Bombyx mori: one gene and its partner. The protein of the gene in region 1 interacts with the protein of each later gene in a pairwise test. Links are inferred from orthologs where the notes say so. Each region holds a gene or a part of one and is shown on either strand. Other genes may lie near its edges. The genes, in order: DNA primase large subunit and rho GTPase-activating protein 8.

Evidence for each region.
Region 2: the proteins of DNA primase large subunit (region 1) and rho GTPase-activating protein 8 interact in a two-hybrid assay, tested with the Drosophila melanogaster proteins (2 studies listed by BioGRID). The link is inferred for Bombyx mori from reciprocal best matches to the Drosophila melanogaster genes Prim2 and RhoGAP68F.

Annotation. Positions count from the first base shown.
Region 1 is NC_085110.1:5,390,291-5,400,199, reverse strand, and holds DNA primase large subunit, read left to right. Parts: upstream 1-4,291; 5' UTR 4,292-4,819; coding exon 4,820-6,050; intron 6,051-6,537; coding exon 6,538-6,779; 3' UTR 6,780-6,817; downstream 6,818-9,909. Other genes in the region: endoplasmic reticulum transmembrane helix translocase, read right to left, coding at 1-1,543, 1,648-1,854, 2,606-2,695, 2,771-3,034; Golgi apparatus protein 1, read right to left, coding at 6,829-6,987, 7,181-7,287. UniProt on the Drosophila melanogaster protein: Regulatory subunit of the DNA primase complex and component of the DNA polymerase alpha complex (also known as the alpha DNA polymerase-primase complex) which play an essential role in the initiation of DNA synthesis.
Region 2 is NC_085107.1:5,052,695-5,062,633, reverse strand, and holds the start of rho GTPase-activating protein 8, read left to right. Parts: upstream 1-4,008; 5' UTR 4,009-4,319; coding exon 4,320-4,368; intron 4,369-5,000; coding exon 5,001-5,117; intron 5,118-9,939. Other genes in the region: peptidylprolyl isomerase, read right to left, coding at 2,306-2,376. UniProt on the Drosophila melanogaster protein: Functions as a GTPase-activating protein (GAP) for RhoA/Rho1 during gastrulation by converting it to an inactive GDP-bound state.

The DNA of each region.
Region 1 (9,909 bases):
CGTGAACAATTTCAGCTATAGCTTTCTTTGAGTCCGTTTTTAATGGACATGATATTATGACGAAACCTACAAACGTTAGGTCACATTCAATGTCATCCCGGGATAAATCCCTTATCTCTTGAGATGTCAATTTTCCTAAATTTCTATAACCCAGAGCTAAAACTCGCGCGCCTCTCCTCGAGAGCGTTAGATAAACATGATCATAATGACTAGGGACATCCTTAAGCATCGATTTGATTGTTTCTGGGGCACCCTTAACACTACTGATGTAGTGAGTCTCAATAAAACCTCTTTCATTGATCTGATAACCTGCTATCACGGACATTCTTTTGAGAGCACTAGAAAAATGATTTCTATGAACAATTTTCAGGCCAGGTGACTTCCCCTTCTTTGGTACTACAGCATCGCTTTTGGTGAGGTTCCACTCTGCTGCCTTCAATGTAGCTTTTTCTAATGGATCCCCAACAATTCCATCGTCAAGTTGAACTAAAGAGTGGCACGATGCTAAAACTTGAACAGTCTCCATTGGAGCTTCAGAAAGGGGAACCACTGTTGCATCTTTGTGTTCTCCTATTCCAGCTACTCCTTCAACAACTAAATTATCACTTGTCAATGTTCCAGTCTTATCGAAACAACATATTTCTACTTTACCAGCAAAGGGTATCCTAAATGGTTCTGTACAGAATACGGCCAATTTCGATAAAGACAACAATGACGTATTAACTGCTAGAGACAACTCTATGGGCAGTTCAGGCGGAACAACCGATGTCAATATTAAAGTACATTCCAAAAATAATTTGTATCTATTTCGCTCAGGATCTTCGCAACCCTTGACCCACACATAGGCCGCAGCAGCTACAGCAAATATAAGCAAAAACATTATGAATCCAAAAGTTTCAAGATTATTAGCTGTGACCCTTTTCACTCCAAACAAAATGGTTCTTAGCAGTTTACCCTGTGATGTGTTAAAACCATTACGTATAACATAACCAATGCAACCATTATCCGGGGCTTTAAGCCCTGAAGGTGAGCTTTTGGATGGTGAGGAATGTTGTACAATCTTAGTACCACCAAAAAGCATGTGAAGTTTACCATCACCCTCAGGTTCTAGATGTTGCTGGAGGTCCTTTTCATTTTCCAAAGCTTCTTTCATTTGTGGAACACTCTCACCAGTCAACATGGACTCATCTACAATACAGGACCCCCGTAAGAGTATTATGTCACAAGGGACCAGGTTTTCGTTGACGGATCTTGTGAGGGATACTATGTCACCCGGTAAAAGCTGATCGCTTGTTATTTGTCTCCACCTCCTGTTTCGATATACATTAATGTTGTAAGGCTTATTGCCCATCTTTCTGATCTCAGCCATATTTCTGAGCTGTTGCTGCACCAATGTACATTCAAACATAACCAACATCACTAGTGTGAATATTGAGTAATACCAATACTTATCCAAACACCACAGAGCTACACAAAATACTTGAAATACAAAAAATGGTGCTGTTGCTCTCTCTTTAAAAAGTTCCATAAATTCCGGAACAACCTGAAAATTTGTAGAGTGGTTTGTATGGTTCAAATATTTTTAAAATAACATTCTTAATTTAATTTTCATTTATATATGTTTATGATTTTACAAAGATTACTTACCATAACCATCTCATTTTTACCAAATTCTTTTTCTGCTAAATCAATAGCCTCATCATCAGAATATCCTTTGGATTCCATATATTCTTCATAAATTTTATTGATAGGAAATTCTATGGTGTGAAAATTCTTTTTATCCCAGTCATACACATATTTACTCTTTTGAAATATGAACCAAACATCTGGGTGTATACTGTCTTTTTTTGTTGACTGTAAATCAAATATATTTTAAAATAAACCTGAACTTAGTGAAAATCGACTCGAAGCCCTCATTCTCTTTTCTAAATTGTACCCTGTACTATCATTAACTTTGAATGTTATTTTTTTCCTACATAAGCTGATAGCCTTGGGAGGCTATTTCAGCAGAACCTTAACTAGTAGGTGAGCTCACGGGGCTCAAACCTGACGACGTTGCGTACACGAACCCTGGCAAGAGCCGTGCTTCGCAGAATCTACCGCCGGATCGGAAACGCGACCCACTGAGAAGATTCGGCGAAAAACTCAGTGGCCTGTGTCTGAGGGTTAAGTTACTCATCGAGCCCTTCGTTGCAAGTGACGGGTTCGACAAGAATTTGAATGTAAAACTTGAAACTTAAAACTTGAAAACCATGAACAAGCTGGAAAAATATTTGTGGCTATTTGTATTCATTCCACATTCAAAGACCTGAAAGTACAGAGATTTCTACCATGTAATGTGTCTGTTTTTGAAAGAGAAAACAAATACACTGCGATCCCTACCTAATGCCAAATACTTGCCAATACAAATGCCAAAAAAAACAACCAAATAGAATACATCTAAGACTATGGGATACGGTATGGCCATATTTACTAGCCACTATACCAATAACTTGGTACCTTCAATGTGATGCAGATGTAAATCATTTTATTCCAATACTGTGTGAACATCACAGTTGAAAAATTTTAATATGGTTTTTGTTAAAGTTCACAATATAAGTCTTACCTTCGTATGATGTAGTCGAACAAGCTCAGATGATCCATTGTTAGAAGTCGGTACAACCTTGACTACCTCAGCTTGTATTGGATCTTTAACCTGTCATCAACATCATATAGCAAATGTAAAGTCTCTAATTTCTTTTTAAAAACATTTTGCTGTCTAAGGACTTACCGCTGAACAAGAAAGGAAGCAGTTGATATGAACACTCCAGTAACAACACAAACATATGAGGATCTGGACTGTTGCTATCACAGCCACAGTCACGAATCCTGCCTCGAAATTATCTTCTATACCGTACACAACGATCCATGAATAAAAAACCAGAGGGTAAATAAATAGAAAAGGCAAAACCGTGCCTTGTAAAACAGTCGGAACAGGCTTGAAAAGCTGTGTATACTGAACTAAATCATCTAGTGACGACTGCATCTTTACCATCGATGTCGCTATGAAAAATTCTATTAATTGATACGGATTCTAACGCAGTTGCCAAATTTTAACTAAATGATACTATCACGCAGCATTGCTCCATTCAATTGATTGGTTTTAATTCAAAATAATGGTTTGATTTCGGAGTCTAGCCAACTTGACAGATTATTGACATGTTGTAAATTGCAAAAGTAGTGAGTGAAGTGCATAGAGAATGACCGAAGTGTAAAACCGGAAAGAGCAACAACATGTGCATTACCAGCAACGTCATTAGCCCACATCAGCCTCACTGTTTGAGTATACAAATCCAGATTTTTGTAATTTTCAGCATTCCATTTTAAGTGGAAATAAGATTTCCACAACTCGTGAGTGATTTGTTTTGATGAATAGTTTAAATTTTTTTAGCTATGATATTTTAGGATAAAACATTTTTTTAAACTATTATTTATTTTCTTTACTAAAATATAAAGCCATTTTCGTTACTATAAATTCGTTGAGCCGAATCTTTGTTATTATTCAACACGATATTTAAAAAATTTGGTAATTACTCTAGAAACTACGGTGGGCGTCAGACATTGATGAAAACAAATCTGGCAGTTTGTGGGACCCAGTCATAGAAATACTCTATAATAAATATAGTAGAAAATTAAAATCACGTGCGCATAGTCAGCGCAAATTATACGAACAGGATAATTTGTCTGCAGTATAATAATAAAATAATGATTTGATCCATCACACTATTCAACTTAACTAAAATATTACATTTAATTATGAAACTTTAGTTCGTTGAAAATTTTATAAAAAATTATTAATCCCATGAGTTTATTTCTTTATTTTACCTCACTCTGATTCAACCCTCGCATCAACATCACCCCGAAGTTCTATTTACCGGTTTCCAGTGTGGCCACTAAGTATAACAAAGAATAAATTGACATCAAGCGATTTATCTATTAAGTGCTGTAATGAAGCTATCACTATCTATACAAAACCGTTATTTTAACAAGAGCAATGTTATCAGAACTATCAATTTACCAGTAACGATAAACAAAATTTCAGGACTTTTCGTTTTAAAGTGTTCCCTCGCTAATAAGCTTCGTAACTTCGACTGAAACGCTGTAAACTTCTTTACTCGCCACGGGTTTCGTCCTAATTTAGAGCCTGAGGCATTAGCATTTTGAATTCCTCAGTCACTTGGTCTGACCAATGGCTTTTTAAAATTGTTACGAAATCATAAAAAACTTGTTTTCAATAATAGATCAGGTTTCGGATTAAGTATTTTAATACTTGTAAGAACATGGTTTTATGTTTATAGTTTCACAGAGGTTCGTATATACAGTATATAGCCTTCGAAGGCAATGAAAATTCTTGCTGTAATTTTATTTTAGTCTTAAATCCCATTTTATTTGTCGTTATTGTCATTGTGTGGTCATGAAAAAAGCAATTACCATTAGTCATATCGTTCTTTCATTATGGACAAAACTGCGAAAGCTGAAAATCAATCTGAGACAAACACAAGACAAAAATGGATTTAATCTTTATTCTAAGCTATTTTGGGCTACGATGCCTTTGTCTCTTTTGTGGACAAATCAACAATGATGTCTGTCACTGTTACTTGTCACTATTGTGATTTGTGTCTACAAAAACTCATAGACCTATATAGTAAAAACTGGCGCCAAAATTGTTCCAGTAGCAAGTGTAACAATAGTGCTAAACATTATTAATATGAACATTATTAATAACAAGAATTTATAACACAATAAAGGTTAAAAGTAATTATTAAATATATAAAAAAGTATGGATTTCAAAGTTAAAAGAAAATCTACCAAAACTCCAGCAACAGGTAATCAATTCGAACTCTATCCACATGACTTACAATTGTACAAAATTCCACCGGTTGAAAACATCACTTTACAAGAATTTGAAACATTAGCTCTGGAGCGTGTAAATTTGTTAAGAACGTTGTCTACAGCTACAACTCTTCGAGGGTTGCGTTTAAATTCAGAAGAATTTGTGGAATTCGTACTAAACGATTTACGAGCACAGGGTTTGAAATATTATGCTAAATTGTGTGAGAAATCGGGTTGTGGATCTACTAAAGCAGATTTTGAAGCCCGAAGAAAAGATCACATTGCTCATTTTATACTCCGACTTGCTTATTGTCGGACTGAAGAGTTGCGACGTTGGTTCATCGCAAGGGAATTGGAACTATTCAAAATGAGATTTGCTGTCATGAGAGGCGAAGCGGTAGAGGTATTCTTTAAACTAAACAATCTATGTTACACTACTATTTCTGAAGATGAAAAAAACGAAGTAATACAAAACTTAATAGAATCTACACCCTACTCTAAAATAGACAATATGAAATTCTATAAGGTTAAATTCTTTGAAGTTCTAGATTTGGTTAAAGCAAGAAAAGTATTTCTTAATGATGGATACGCTTATATACCTCACAGAGATTTCATATCAGTTCTTGCAGCACAGTATCGAACACATTTAAAACAAAATTTGGCCAAAGCTTGCCATCATCTGTGTGAAATTGAACAAGATGAACGACTTGTTTGTTTGTTAAAAGGCTTACATCAATCTTATTCAGGTAATGATTATTCTGAAACTAAAGCTGTGATACCCATAGAAAGCTTGGACTCTATTTCAACCAAGTCATTTCCTCTGTGTATGAGGCAACTTCATGAACAATTAAGAATTGCCCATCACTTAAAACATGGGGGCAGGTTACAGTATGGCTTGTTCTTAAAAGGTATTGGTGTGACACTGGAAGACTCTTTAAGGTTTTGGAGGGAAGAATTCATTAAGATTATGGATTTGGATAAATTTGAAAAGCAATATGCTTATAATGTTAGATACAATTATGGAAAAGAAGGAAGCAAAAGGAATTATTCACCATTCAGTTGTCTGAAGATTATAAATACCAATGTTGGTCCTGGAGATTGTCATGGATGTCCATTCAGACACTGTGATACTGGTGTTCTAAAGAATAAACTTATTGGCTATGGTTTTAGTCATCAAGGTAAATCAAAATGTTATAACTGTTTTATCAAAGCCACAACAACATTAACTTGTACACAGACTAATAGAATAACGTAATGTATTCATTTCTAAGTACTTAATGTTGTGTAATTATAGTGTGCTAAATAAAATTAATTACAACTCCATAAACTATTTTAAAAAATGTACTAAAGCTTAAAAGTTTAAAATAACTGATATTAGTTTATTATGTTCCCAAAAATATTGCCTTTAATTTACCAAGTTGCACTATTGATGAGGTGACACTTCAGTAGATATTGATTACTCCTTTAGTGAACTAATCAGTTGGTAGATTGTACATGCCAAAATATTAAAATAACCTAAGTGAAACCAAAATTTATAGACTGCCAAATGTTACTCAGTTACTAACACTCATTGGAGCCTCCTTTGCAAACAGCAATGTTAATACATATGGAGGCTTGCACTAGTTGTAAATTTCACTGAAAAAGGTAAATTTTCTTGATTTTCAGTTGTTTCTGATATAGTGGAGTTGAGCAAGAAAACACATTTCCAAATTGCCTGCAGTAAATATTTTGATGCCATCCACAATGCAGATGTTGGTTTAGGTATCAATCATCCTAATCAGTTCTTTGAGGAGAGTCAGAAAATATTGAAAGGAGAATTGAAAGTACAACCCAAGAAAGAAAATCTTGTGAAGAAAGATATTGTTGACAGCATAGATGCTATGGATTTTGATGAGCCACTGGAATGATCTAACACAACAGAAATAAAACTTATTTCATATTGCAATAGTTCATTTATTATTTTTGCTTAACATACATAGCTTTTTTAGTAACATGTCCACAGTACAGACCAAATATAAAAATTATGCCTACAATCGAAATACCTACAACTAAGAAATACTTTTTTGATGGTGATGATGATATGCTATGATAAACATCTCCCAGTGTTTCAAATTTCTGTAAATTAAAAAACAAATTAATTATGTAAACACAATTATAAAAAGCAAAGAATAATAAAAAAAAAAATTATTAAAGGATATTTGGTTATGACACTTAAAATCAAGCATAAAATTGGAATTTTGCTATTTCAGATACAAACTGATTTGATTTGATGAATCTTTACTTAATAATTAATTAAAACAAAACTTACAGCTGCTACAAATCTATACATTTCTAATCTACTTGTGAGTTCCTTTTCACATGCTGCCTCCAACTTCCGTGTTCCATCATTTGATATAATTTTTAAACATTTCAGACCTGCAAAAATTTTTTTATTATCTTTCGTAATTTGGCAGGCATATGTTTGAGCGGCGTAGTATGTGAGATGGAAGTTTCGACCAACAGTCCATCTTCATTGTTGCCAAAGCGGATTGCTATCGCAACATATTGTTGTTTCATGCATTGGTCTGTCAGGCCATTAGCTTGTCTATTCATCTACAGTTGACAATACTAAAATGAACAATAACAATTCATTACGTAGTCCTTTGTCCATAAAATTCACAATCTATGAATCATCAATTACATTGTGAAGCGTGATAAGGCAGACACGAAACTTTTTAAGAATCAAATTATGTATCTATTTTTTTTATTATAATACATAAATATCTTCACCATAAAGAAGTTATATATATAGTGTAGTAAAATTTTATTACAATACAAATTACATTCAGAAAAAGTAACGCCGAATCTTTTATTAACGAATGAATACGAAAGCCATTAGCAGATATAAAGTAATATATTCAATATGGGATAAAGTCGAGAGCTCGCCATATAGCGGGACATCCGGGTTCGATAATAGCAATGTCGATTCTCGGTGGTATTCCTATCGTTCGCAGTACGCTATTGTTGTGATATCGCCCGAAAAGATAATTTTGTCAAGATAATAATTTAGAATTAGAATACATATAAAAAATTGTTATAATGATTTAACAGATATACGTGGGTACAACACATTTTTTTTAAGTAAGCATACCAAAACCGCGTTGGAGGTTGAGTCGAGTCGAGTTAAGCTCGTGTGAACGACTAAAGATACGGGGGTTAAGCACGAAACTTCTACGTCCTGATTATATGGGACTTGCAAAATGATAGAGGCCACCCAATAAACGACTACTCTCGCCCGATCGGCCAATCTCCGTCCGAGACACAACCCAAGAGAGGTTTTACGAGGGTTTATCTCTCACAACTGCAAGGAGTTTACTTTTTTATTGCTTAGATGGGTGGACGAGCTCACGGCCCACCTGGTGTTCAGTGGTTACAGAAGCCCATAGACATATATAATGTAAATGCCGCCACACACCTTGAGATATGAGTTCTAAAGTCTCAGTACAGTTACAACCGCTGCCCCACCCACCCTTCAAACCGAAACTCATTACTGCTTCACGGCAGAAATAGGCAGGGTGGTGGTACCTAGAACTTTGAAGGTAATTAAAGAACCTTACTTTGAAGGTGATTTGTATGAATAACTAACATTTTGTTTATTATTGATATTTTCCGTGTAAGTACTTTCTTGACCGAGTAGTAAGTATAATTACTATCTATTTTGTCAAGCGTAACCAAATGCACATTAATTTTCCAGAAAGTCCTTGTTACTTTGAGCGGTTTTTTTTTATTCCAGGACAGTTTCTATATAAGTACATGCTTAGTATGTTTAGTACAAAGGCCGTAGTATTTGCACCCTCCATTCGCCGTTGTTTTATAAAGTCTAAAATTCTTGTTTTTTTATCTCTTTCTGTGCTTACAAAACAAATTTCATACTACGAGTGTATACTATTCACGGTATTTGATTGAATATCGATGCATTTCTATGATAACGTTTAGAGTTTTTATGAACACTAATATAAAAATTAATGGTGTAGTAAGCCTCCATATGCTTCTGTAACTTAATCGGTTTCCTTTTTAAAAAAATACAAAATGTGTGCAATTCTCACGTGGTAGAAGTGAAACCTTCCAAAATTAAAATACAATTATCCTAAACGTCTTAAGTATATGTAAAATTTTGTCATTAATAAATAATTGTAAGGTAGCGCCCTCTGTGAATTGATATTTTAATTTCACGTATAATCCTAAATTAAAATTCACTACAAGAGCTTTCATACACACGTTAGTATTAAAAAATCTCACAGATGGCGCTGTATTAAATAGTATGTATATTTCTGTCTCATTCTTTGCTGGCTTCATCCTACACATTTTTGTATTTGTGTCTCTTACCTGTCGTTTTTTCCGTTGCATCCGGTTTGAAATCACAACGATTCTAAAGAAGTTTTCACTTCAAAAATCGGTGCATGTAGTTGTTTTTTTTTTAAATATCGGTAAACACAACTGTATTTGCTGGTTTGAGCTTCATTATTTATTAATTACAAACTTAACGCGGGTGAAATCACGAGGCGACGTTTAATAAAATTAAGAAATATGGTTTTTTATAACTTTATAACTGCATAATTTACAATATTTGTTATCAATTTAGTTGGACCGACGCAATATTGCTTCTACATACGATATCTGGTTACAAAGACCTATATAAAATGTTATTTCGACATTTTTGTAACTACATACAAAATATGCTGAAAGCGCTACAATATTCAATATAATCCGATAATTTCGAACACTAAGAACATGTACAATCGCATAATTTTCAACTGATTTCAAAAAAGGTAGTAATTCTCAATTTCTCTGTATTTATTTATGTGTTACCTTAGAACTTATTTTTTGGGGATTTTGACGTTAATTTTTTTATTTCGAAGTTGGGGCTTCTCGTATAATCCCATTTCAATTTAATCAAGATCTGACCAGTAGTTTTGAGTTAATTGCAATAATGGATATTTAATTGAATTCAACTACAATTATTACCTTAATCACATATTTATTTTGTTGAAGTCGGTT
Region 2 (9,939 bases), on another chromosome or scaffold:
CGATACCCACCTATCAAAGAGAGCACTGACCTGGAAAGTGTCTGGCAAAAGGAAGAGAGGCCGCCTCAGAACAACTTGGCGTCGCTCGGTGGAGCAGGAGCTAGGGTTCTTGGGCATGACGTGGGAGGAGCTAGAACAGACTGCCCAAGACCGATATAAATGGAAAAATTTGATTCGAGCCCTACACCCCAGTAGAGGGTAATAGGAAAGAATGATGATGATGATGAACAACAACAACTACGGCACTTTATCATAATACTACTAAAGTTGACACAGATTACTTGCTCTGGCGATGCTCGACTTCTGCGAGTCCACCATCTCGCAGAAGGAGGCAGCGGAACCGGAGAGGGAGAACCGCCGCCACCGTCGAGTCAGGGGTCGGAGGAGGGCGTTTGTCCAGCTCCGGCCCCTATGAGGAGGCAGTCTCCTCCCGGTGATGGTCACGGGGCGACCTAAGGGGGTTGAGACTGCGCCGCACGCTATAGTCACTCTAGCGCGCTGGCACCAGGAGGACTGGGCGACGCGTCGACGACTGCGGACTGCGATGCGGTCCGCATTGTCGTCGTCGCTGTCGTCGCCGAACATACTGTGAAAGAGCAGGCTGGTTCTGGCCCAGCGGGGTATGCCGGAACAGCAGCGGCATCGCCCGGGCGGCCTGGTAGGGCCGCCGTACCGCGGAGACCGACGTCGTTGGTCGTCGACTATCGCCTCGACGACCCGTCGGTCGGGCGTCCTCGGGATGGCGCCGCGTGTCTGGTTGTAGTGTTGACCGCGGGAACCCCCCTACTCTGGCCGGGTTTTGACCCCAGACGAAGATCGGACGTCGTTTTTGCAGGGGAGTCGTTTAGTGGGTGGGCCCTAAAATTCCTTGGGCCCTCGGTCTGCTCTCAACAACTGCAGATCGTTGAGTCTCACATAACCCGCGCGCCCCCTAGGCGCGGGGACCTTGCAGGAGGTTCAGCCCTCGGCCCGAAAAAAAGAAAAGATTACTTGCTCTTGCAATGGTAATGTTTTTTGAACATTTGCATGTATGCTTAATTTCTTCCAATTAACTTTTTAATGGATTTGAACATTTGGGATATCTTTTGATTAATCTCAATTGTGAGAGTGGCATACAGTATATAAAACAATGCAATATTTAATACAAAAAAGTCATAGTTTCTCATTCTATAATATTTATCAAAAAACGAATTTTGAGAGATCTAAAACATTGTAAACCAAGCTTAGTAGAAATACAGTAAAGAAAGTGTTTTGATACATTAGTGATTTTATTGTTGCATGATCATTCATATAATAATATAATAATAATAATTATTATTATGCCGTCGCTTCTCTTTTCATTCAAAGAAAACAGTGGCCGAAATGATCAAGGGCTCCAAAAATGAAAATGAAATGAAGTGTCTGGATTGGTTCCCTTTCTAAAAAGACGGTGATTTCCACATTCAGGAAAGCCTCCAAAGGCACTGAGTTGGAGGCATTGCTCGATGAGGATATGTAGCAAAAGCAAGATCAGCTTGCTTCAGCATTATTACTAGCCAAAGCTATATCCAAACCATTGCATGCATTGGGAATGATTCAGAAGGAAGTAGCTTGGGTTCTTTATGAGTTGAAACCAAGAGATAATGAGCATTATCTTTTCCGTGAATAAAGGATCCAGTGGTGTAAAAGTAACAGTTTTCTTCATCACATCATGATAAGTGATGAAAAGTGGATTCAATACAGCAACCCAAAGAGAAAAGTATCTTGGGGACTGTCCAGTCACACATCTACATTCTCGGGTCAGCTGAATATTCACAGTGCAAAAGTTATTTTGTGCATTCAGTGGAACTAAGTCGGTGTTGTTGATTATGAGCTGTTGGATCTAAACAACATATTCACTAGGGAACAGTATTGAACTCAATGCAATGAAGGCGAGCACTATACAAGTATAAATTATCACGATACCATCAAAGGTATGATAAAATAATAATTCTCTTGCATGACAATGCTGTCTCATGTTGCCAAAACCTGCCTGGAAAGGCTAAGGGCACGACTTGCCCCACCCACCATCTGATTATTATTTGTTCCGTTTGATTGGACATAGTTTAGCTGATTAATAGTTCCGGTCATATAGAAACATGAAGTGTGAAATAGAACGAGTTATTATGTATACTTTTTTTGGTTACAATTAGAATTCAGAATGGTTTTTGTTTCATTCGTGATTTATAAGATTGCAATCTTAAAGGCGGATATTACATATTTATGATATCTATTACAAATGTTGGATAAATGGTATTAGTTAATGTTAAAGTTTTGAATGACTTACGTCGTTTCAATTACAACAACGGGTGGTTGCCATGATTTATCCGGTATACCGGCATTCGAATAACCTAGCATGTTCTTATTTTTATCTTGTACAGTAGATAACTCAATTTACTCAATAAACTAAAAACCTACATAGATATTAAATAGCGTACACTCCAATTTTTTTTGCATAGATTTTAAACTTTAAACTTAGTTGAGAGTTGTTTGATTACTTGAACCATAGATAATACAGAATGTGTTACAGACTATCGTTTTACATTTCAGAAGGTTAGTTGATTTATTTCATCCATTGGATAAGCAAAAGAGACATAGCTCATTCAGCCAAATCTTATGTAACAATGGCTGAAATTAAGTAATTTTTTTTTTATTGCTTAGATGGGTGGACGATCTCACAGCCCACCTGGTGTTAAGTGGTTACTGGAGTCCATAGACATCCACAACGTAAATGCGCCACCCACCTTGAGATATAAGTTCTAAGGTTTCACGTATAGGTACAACGGCTGCCCTACCCTTTAAGCCGAAACGCATTACTGCTTCACGGCAGAAATAGGCAGGGTGGTGGTACCCACCCGCGCGGACTCACAAGAGGTCCTACCACCAGCAATTACGCAAATTATAATTTTGCGGGTTTCATTTTTAATACACGATGTTATTCCATCACCGTGGAAATCAATCGTGAACATTTGTTGAGTACGTATTTCATTAGAAAAATTGGTACCCGCCTGAGATTCGAATACCGGTGCATCGCTCAACACGAATGCACCGGACGTCTTATCCGTTAGGCCACGACGACTTCCCATATGTTGTATGTCATGGATGTTACATGGATAAAAACTGCAATAACGAAATCAACAGAAATTAAATGGAATTAAAAGAGGTGAAATAGGAAAACATAAGCATTGGATGAAATGAAGTAACACAGCACAGAAATAAAGACCATTAATAATGCTTAGCGCTAAAGGATCGGCACCACGCGGGGCTATCTAAGTTGTTCACATACTCCTTCATATACTCCTATTTGTGCCTACGGCCTATATATATGTAGTCGGCGAGTATCTAAATGAGGCATTAGAGAATCCATAATCGACTTTTTTATTATTACTTTATGTTATTCATTTGTTTGGATGGAGGTATTTTTGTTAACCTAGAACCCTATAGTTTCACCAGAACAGATGACTGAACTCGAGGAATTGACTGGAGGAGGACTCTGCGTCTATTATATATCTATTATATAACCCATACATATCTAATCCTACGATAGTATAAGTCCAAAAGAAAGATTGGTTGTAACATTAAGATTTCTTGCAACAGGAAATTCGTATCAAGATTTAAAATTTAGTTCTTCAATATACCAACCCCTGATAAAAATTATCCCTGAAACATGTTGGGCTATTTATAAATGTCTGGCACATTAAATAAAGGTGACCGAAATTAATACTTTTTATTTTAAAGTAAAAAATCACGAAGTAACTAAATGCGATTACACCTTCCTAAATGCGTTTCTAATTAGGCTTCTAAATAATCATTTAGTTAGTCCGAAACCATCCTTGCTACTGAATTTAGTAGGCCAACTTACTTAATGCTATTACGCTTCACTGAATTCAGTAGCGACTGAATTCAGTCGACTAAATTTAGCCAACTGTATTAAGCCTATAAGTATAAGACGTAATTTCTTAAATTATTCTGTGATTGTAAAGCCCATTTTGACGTATTCCTTTCAACGTCAATGGAATAGAGCATTTGTTTTGTCTGATAATCTCGAGTTTTACTCTTGTACAACTGGAATCGGAAATAATAAAGCTACATAGTTCTTAGATAAATATGTAGGTAGTTGCTTGCATTTTAATTTTATAATTTTCTTGTTAATTTCAGATTACAGTACATTTTAAACATTAATAAGACTGGAGGATAACGGATTTATTAGCTCGAAGGGATATTGTCTACGCATATGAAGTAACAGCAAATTGTTTGATTTCGAGAAACCATAATTGTATAGATTTATTTGATGATTCAAAATGGACCCGGAACATCAACCCAAACTTAATCCGGTCAGGGCCTTTCAAGGTATGTGTAGTATATTTAGATATGTTAGCACTTTAGCCTTTACACATTGACCTAACTTAGTACGTCGCGCCCCGCCTGCGCGTGAGGTTGCGTGCTCTTAGTGTTGTTTAGAGAATCATTCAGTACAACCCTCTAACTTGATGTGAATGTTCCATTACTCTGCTTGCTAATTGTTCCCTAAAATTCTTTAATTATTCAAAATGAATATTTTCAATTGTGCCAGAAATAAGTTTCGATCGTGGTTTTCTTTTTTATTCCCCAAACGGAATAACTCCTCCCAGGCTGCTGCAGCAGAAAGAGCAACAAGTTAGTGGGAAGTTTTGACTGTATATGAAGTTAAGTTTTTTTATTTCATTTTTGAGTTCATTTTATTATTAATGATCAAAATTTAATTTTGAGTTTATTTCAATTATGTTTGAACCAGTTAGCAAATATTATTTAAAATTATGTGATTGGAAAACAAATTGGAGGCATATTTGATAGAATATCATCCAAAATTGAGTTTTATTTATTTATGGTAATTATTAGTTTTTAAAATTATTTTTATTTTAAAAATGTGTTTGTTTTTTTTTTCTTTAAGCCTTTTTGCTTAAATAATAATAAATATGTATTTTAAATAAATTTCTTTTTAGTTCTACATGGTTGTAATGGGGAAACAGAGGAAAATTACACTAGTCTTTCTGAGTACCATGACTATGAACCAAGCCTTGAATTTGATGACTCTGAATTGATCCATGGACCTGGTCTAGGTAAGTATTTAAAGGTTATTTAACTATATTTGGAATAATTGTGGTAGGTGTTATAAAATATAAATCTAACAAAACAAAATAGACATAGTTGGAAATTTAAAAAATGAGCTTAATGATTGGGTGAGGTGCACTCGGAAGCATGAATTTTATTTTATATTTATAAAGTTTTATTTCCAAATTAATAATGTAACAAAAATCATTAATGATATTTTTTTAAATTTAATCTGAAGTGCTAAGTTTTTTTGGTAGGTTTTGGACAGCTAGGTCACAGCTTTGGATTTTTATTAAAAATGCAATTGAGAATTAGTTTGTCATGTAATTAATATTTACAAAACTTTCCTTACCTTTGGTTTTTAAACTATAGTGCTCACTTGTAAAACATGCTTTTGATAAAAATATGCTTAAAGTTTTTCAGCATTGATACTCTTATCATATTTCCATAAAATTTTGAGCTGGCTGGATGCAATTCAAATTTTTTTATAAAATTTTCCTTTGAGTTGAATCTGGATATTACTATTTTTAATCTCTTGTCACTGCAATCATCTACAGTCCGTTTCCAGATATTATTTTTACATTTTACATCTACATATTGTCTGGCATTGGAATGAGCTCAGCTCTACATTGTTTACCAAGAGCTGTGACATGTCCTTTGTCAAATGAGGCGTGTGGAGATTACTTAACAGTAGGCAGTGGCTTGGCTCTGCCCCTGGCATTGCTGATGTCCATGAGCGACAGTAGCCACTCACCATCAGGCACCTACAAGGGTTACAAATAAAATGAAGGAAACTTGATCTTTGGGATGTGTTTTTAGATATTGGGGAAAATGAAAGTGTTTGTAAAATTATGCTCAATATTTCAGTTATAAATCAATGAAAATTTCTGGAATAGGGCAATAATTTATACTTACATTGAATCATTAATTCCTAGACCCCTATAGTAGGGTTTCTTCCATTGTAGATGCTTCCAAAAAATCAATCTTCTTTTACCTTACAATCTTTTGATGAGTCGTCGTGGCCAAAAGAATTAGACGTCCGGTGCATTCGTATGTAGCGATGCATCGGCGTTCCGATCCGTCGGCAGGTACTAATTTTTACAATGAAATACATACTCAACAAATGTCCACGATTGACTTCAACCTTGAAAGAATAACATCGTATAATAAAATGAAACCCGCAAAATTATAATTTGTGTAATTACTGGTGGTAGGACGTCTTGCGAGTCCACACAAATAGATACCACCACCCTGCCCTGCTGACGTGAACCAGTAATGCGTTTCGGTTTGAATGGCGGTGCAGCCGTTGTTCTGTTAAAAGTGAGACATTATGTCCTTATGACAGAACTTATGAGACCTATGACCTTATAACCTCATGTTTCTAGGTGGGTGGCGGCATTTACATTGTAGATGTCTATGGGCTCCGGCAACCACTTAACACCAGGTGAACCGTGAGCTCGTCCACCCGTCTAAGCAATAAAAAAATAATAAAAAACCTTTGAATGATTTCTTGGGTATTCTCATTTAAATTTTTGTCATTAACTTTATGTATGCTGAGAATCTATACTCTTTCCTCATACCCGATCCTGTGGAGCGAATAGTAAACAGTCGACGTCGCCCTAAACACGTAATTACGGATCCTCCGATCCATTAACGGTGCTTTTAGGTACCACAAGCACCGTCCTCGTCGAACCCGTCGCTTGCGACGAAGGGCTCGATCTTCTCAGTGGGGCGCGTTTCAGATCTAGCGGTAGATTCTGCGAAGCACTGCTCTTACTAGAGCCAATGTTAGCAACATTCTCGGTTTGACCCCCGTAAGCTCACTTACACGTCAAGGAGAAGCTGAAATAGGCTCTCAAGGCATCAGCATAGATGGGAAAGAAAAAAAACTCTTTATGAGAATTAAAATACAACAAACTTTATTTTATATAAAAGTAATAATTACATTCTATTTTGAAGCATTTTCAATGCTAATATTCTAAACTTGAAGTTCAATAATAGTTTATATTATGCATAAATTATTGCATTAGAGCTTAGTCTTCACCGAGTTGTATTTAAAAGTGACGTACGCTAAAGTCTACTTCGACACTGCAACATGCATTCCCTGGTTACTCCATTGACAATGAACTGACAAAGTTAGGGCTGGGCCCCCAAAGTACTTTACTTATGATAACATTTAATGGAGAAAAAAAATCTGGATCTGTGGTCCCCAGTATGGCTTTGATGGTGCAGTAGTATTAATCGCTCCTCTTTGGTCATCAGTTTGCAAAATCGAATGACAATACAACATTAATATAACAATTTTAATTACTCTTGTACTATGACCTTATACTTAAACAATCAAATCGAAGCAAACATCTATTTGCGGTGATAAATTATGCAATGGCACACCAGAGTTGCATAAAACTACCTTACACATTAGGCAATTTTGTTAATAAGCTTTATGGATTTGTGATTCTACTACTCGTTACCAGCAAGTAATTCGTGTATTAATCTGAACGCATTGGGTGAGCAATAATTTCGGAATGAGCTTGGAACGAAAGCTGTATATTCGTTTAAATTTAAGCTGATGGATTGTTTCGTTTGTCGATTCGTCGTCACTGTCGAGGATTTTATGCACAGTAGTCAGGTTAAATTACATGTCACGATGAGGGCGTAGTTCGGTCTTTGAAGTGGAAGTTTATTCATTTGGAAAACAAACACTATATTCACAGTCAAATATTAGTAACGAGTATCACAAAAACTATAGTTATATTATTATATAGAAGGGTGGGGTAGCCGTTGTAACTATACTGAGACCTTAGAACTTATATCTCAAGGTGGGTGGCGCATTTACATTGTAGATGTCTATGGGCTCCAGTAACCACTTAACACCAGGTGGGCTGTGAGCTCGTCTACCCATCTATCTAAGCAATAAAAAAAAAAAAACTTTTTTTTTCTTTCTAAACACCGCACCGGATGAAGTGATAGTGTATCGGCGTGTTATAAATATTCAAGAAAACGCGCTGCACCGTTTTTGTGACTCGCTTGGTCTTACGGATTGAATATATAAATAGTAATTACTTTAGGTTTTAGGATAAATTTTCAGTTGTGATATCGTGTGCTTTGGGATAAATCTTCAGTTGCGATTTCCCATTTTTCGTATGTTTGAAAATATGATATAAATATGAAGAAAATATTTTGATTTAATTCTAAAAATATCTACGTTCAATAGAAAGCTTAGAAAATGGTGTATTTTTTTGTGATTCTTGAATTTATACGCCATAGCAGATTTCAACCCACAATGTTTACGTTGAATCTAAAAATATTATGCTTTACATTGGAACTTCTCAGAAAATATCATAAAAGATTTTTCTAGACAGCTCAGACGTTGTACCACCTTAACTTATTCAAGGTCATTTTTACTTTACTTTCTGCGATATTAAAATTGAAATCGCAATACGTAATTCAATAAAATATGTGTTGATGAAATGATTAGAGTCCACGATTGAAAAATTGCACAAGTAAATCGATCTGGATGATGTATCAACGTGCTCTTGTTCTGATTGTTAGATACAGTCCCCTATATGTTAAAATCAACTGGAAGGCCGCGATGTCGAGTTCAAGGATTTCACGATTGATTTTTGATGAGTGATTTTGGTGTTAAAATTGAATATACTCTCAGATGAAAGAGGACTATGCCAAAATATCGCTTCTACGTTATATTATATATGGATATAAATAGGAACATGGACTGCATAAATCATGAAAATATTGTTGTAAAACAGAACTGAGAGTGCAGTCAGAAAACGTAGGTTCGTATTTTTCAATATATTATGGAAACTGGTAACCAGTTACATCAAGCGATTTCCTCAATCCCTGTAAACAATAAAAGTCCCCAGAGACCGCTTTACGAATGAGTATTGCTCAATCACGATCAATAGGATCTAATGCATGTATCGGGCTTACCCTGTAACTGTGTTGTTATTAATGGATGAAGACCATGGACTAGATCCGGTCGTAAACTAGCCTTGGGAGCTTTTTGTATGTCTTATCTTCAACGCTGGCTTACTGGTTCGTGACACTCGAATCGTGAATAAAATGTAGTAGCCGCGAAAGCTTTAATATAATTCTAATGTCAAAAAAAAAAGAAAATAAGAATAATGAACTCGATAATAATAGCTTACACGTTTTTAATTTATGATTTGTATTACGAGTATAATACTCAGTCATAATAAAAGTTTTGCACGTAACAGAACCACCTGTTACTCAGTTATCTGTTGTATTAGATTAATGTAGGTCATTTCGCACGCTCTTCTTTCTTCGACATCGCGGAAGTAATGAAAATTATTAAGGTAATGTTTTATATGAGATGTACAAAACATTAAATTCGACTTTGAAAACTATGCCAATATGGTATTTTGGTTTCGGTTTCGTTTACCTTGGGTTTAGTTATAACATCAACAATGTTCGCTTAAGTAGAACTTTTATGAAATGAAAGTAAATTTATTTAATAAATAGTTTATGTTTTGTCGAAATCATATACCTATTTTGTACATACCTACATGATTCCCTGTATTTTACAGTCAAACATATATTGATAATGAATTTTAATTTTGTATTAAAAATAAAAGAAAAAACATTTACATATTGTTTTACCATTACACGTGTCGTGCACTATGAAAAGTAATTTAGAACAAGAAAGTTAAAGCTAACAAATTTACTTATTCATACACTACCTGTATTTATTCAGTATACTGTAGCTGAAAGGATAAGCTCGCGATTTATCACTGTCTTTTCTATAATAAGTCATAGTAATAAGTTTTTAAGTATACATCGAAATGATGGGCT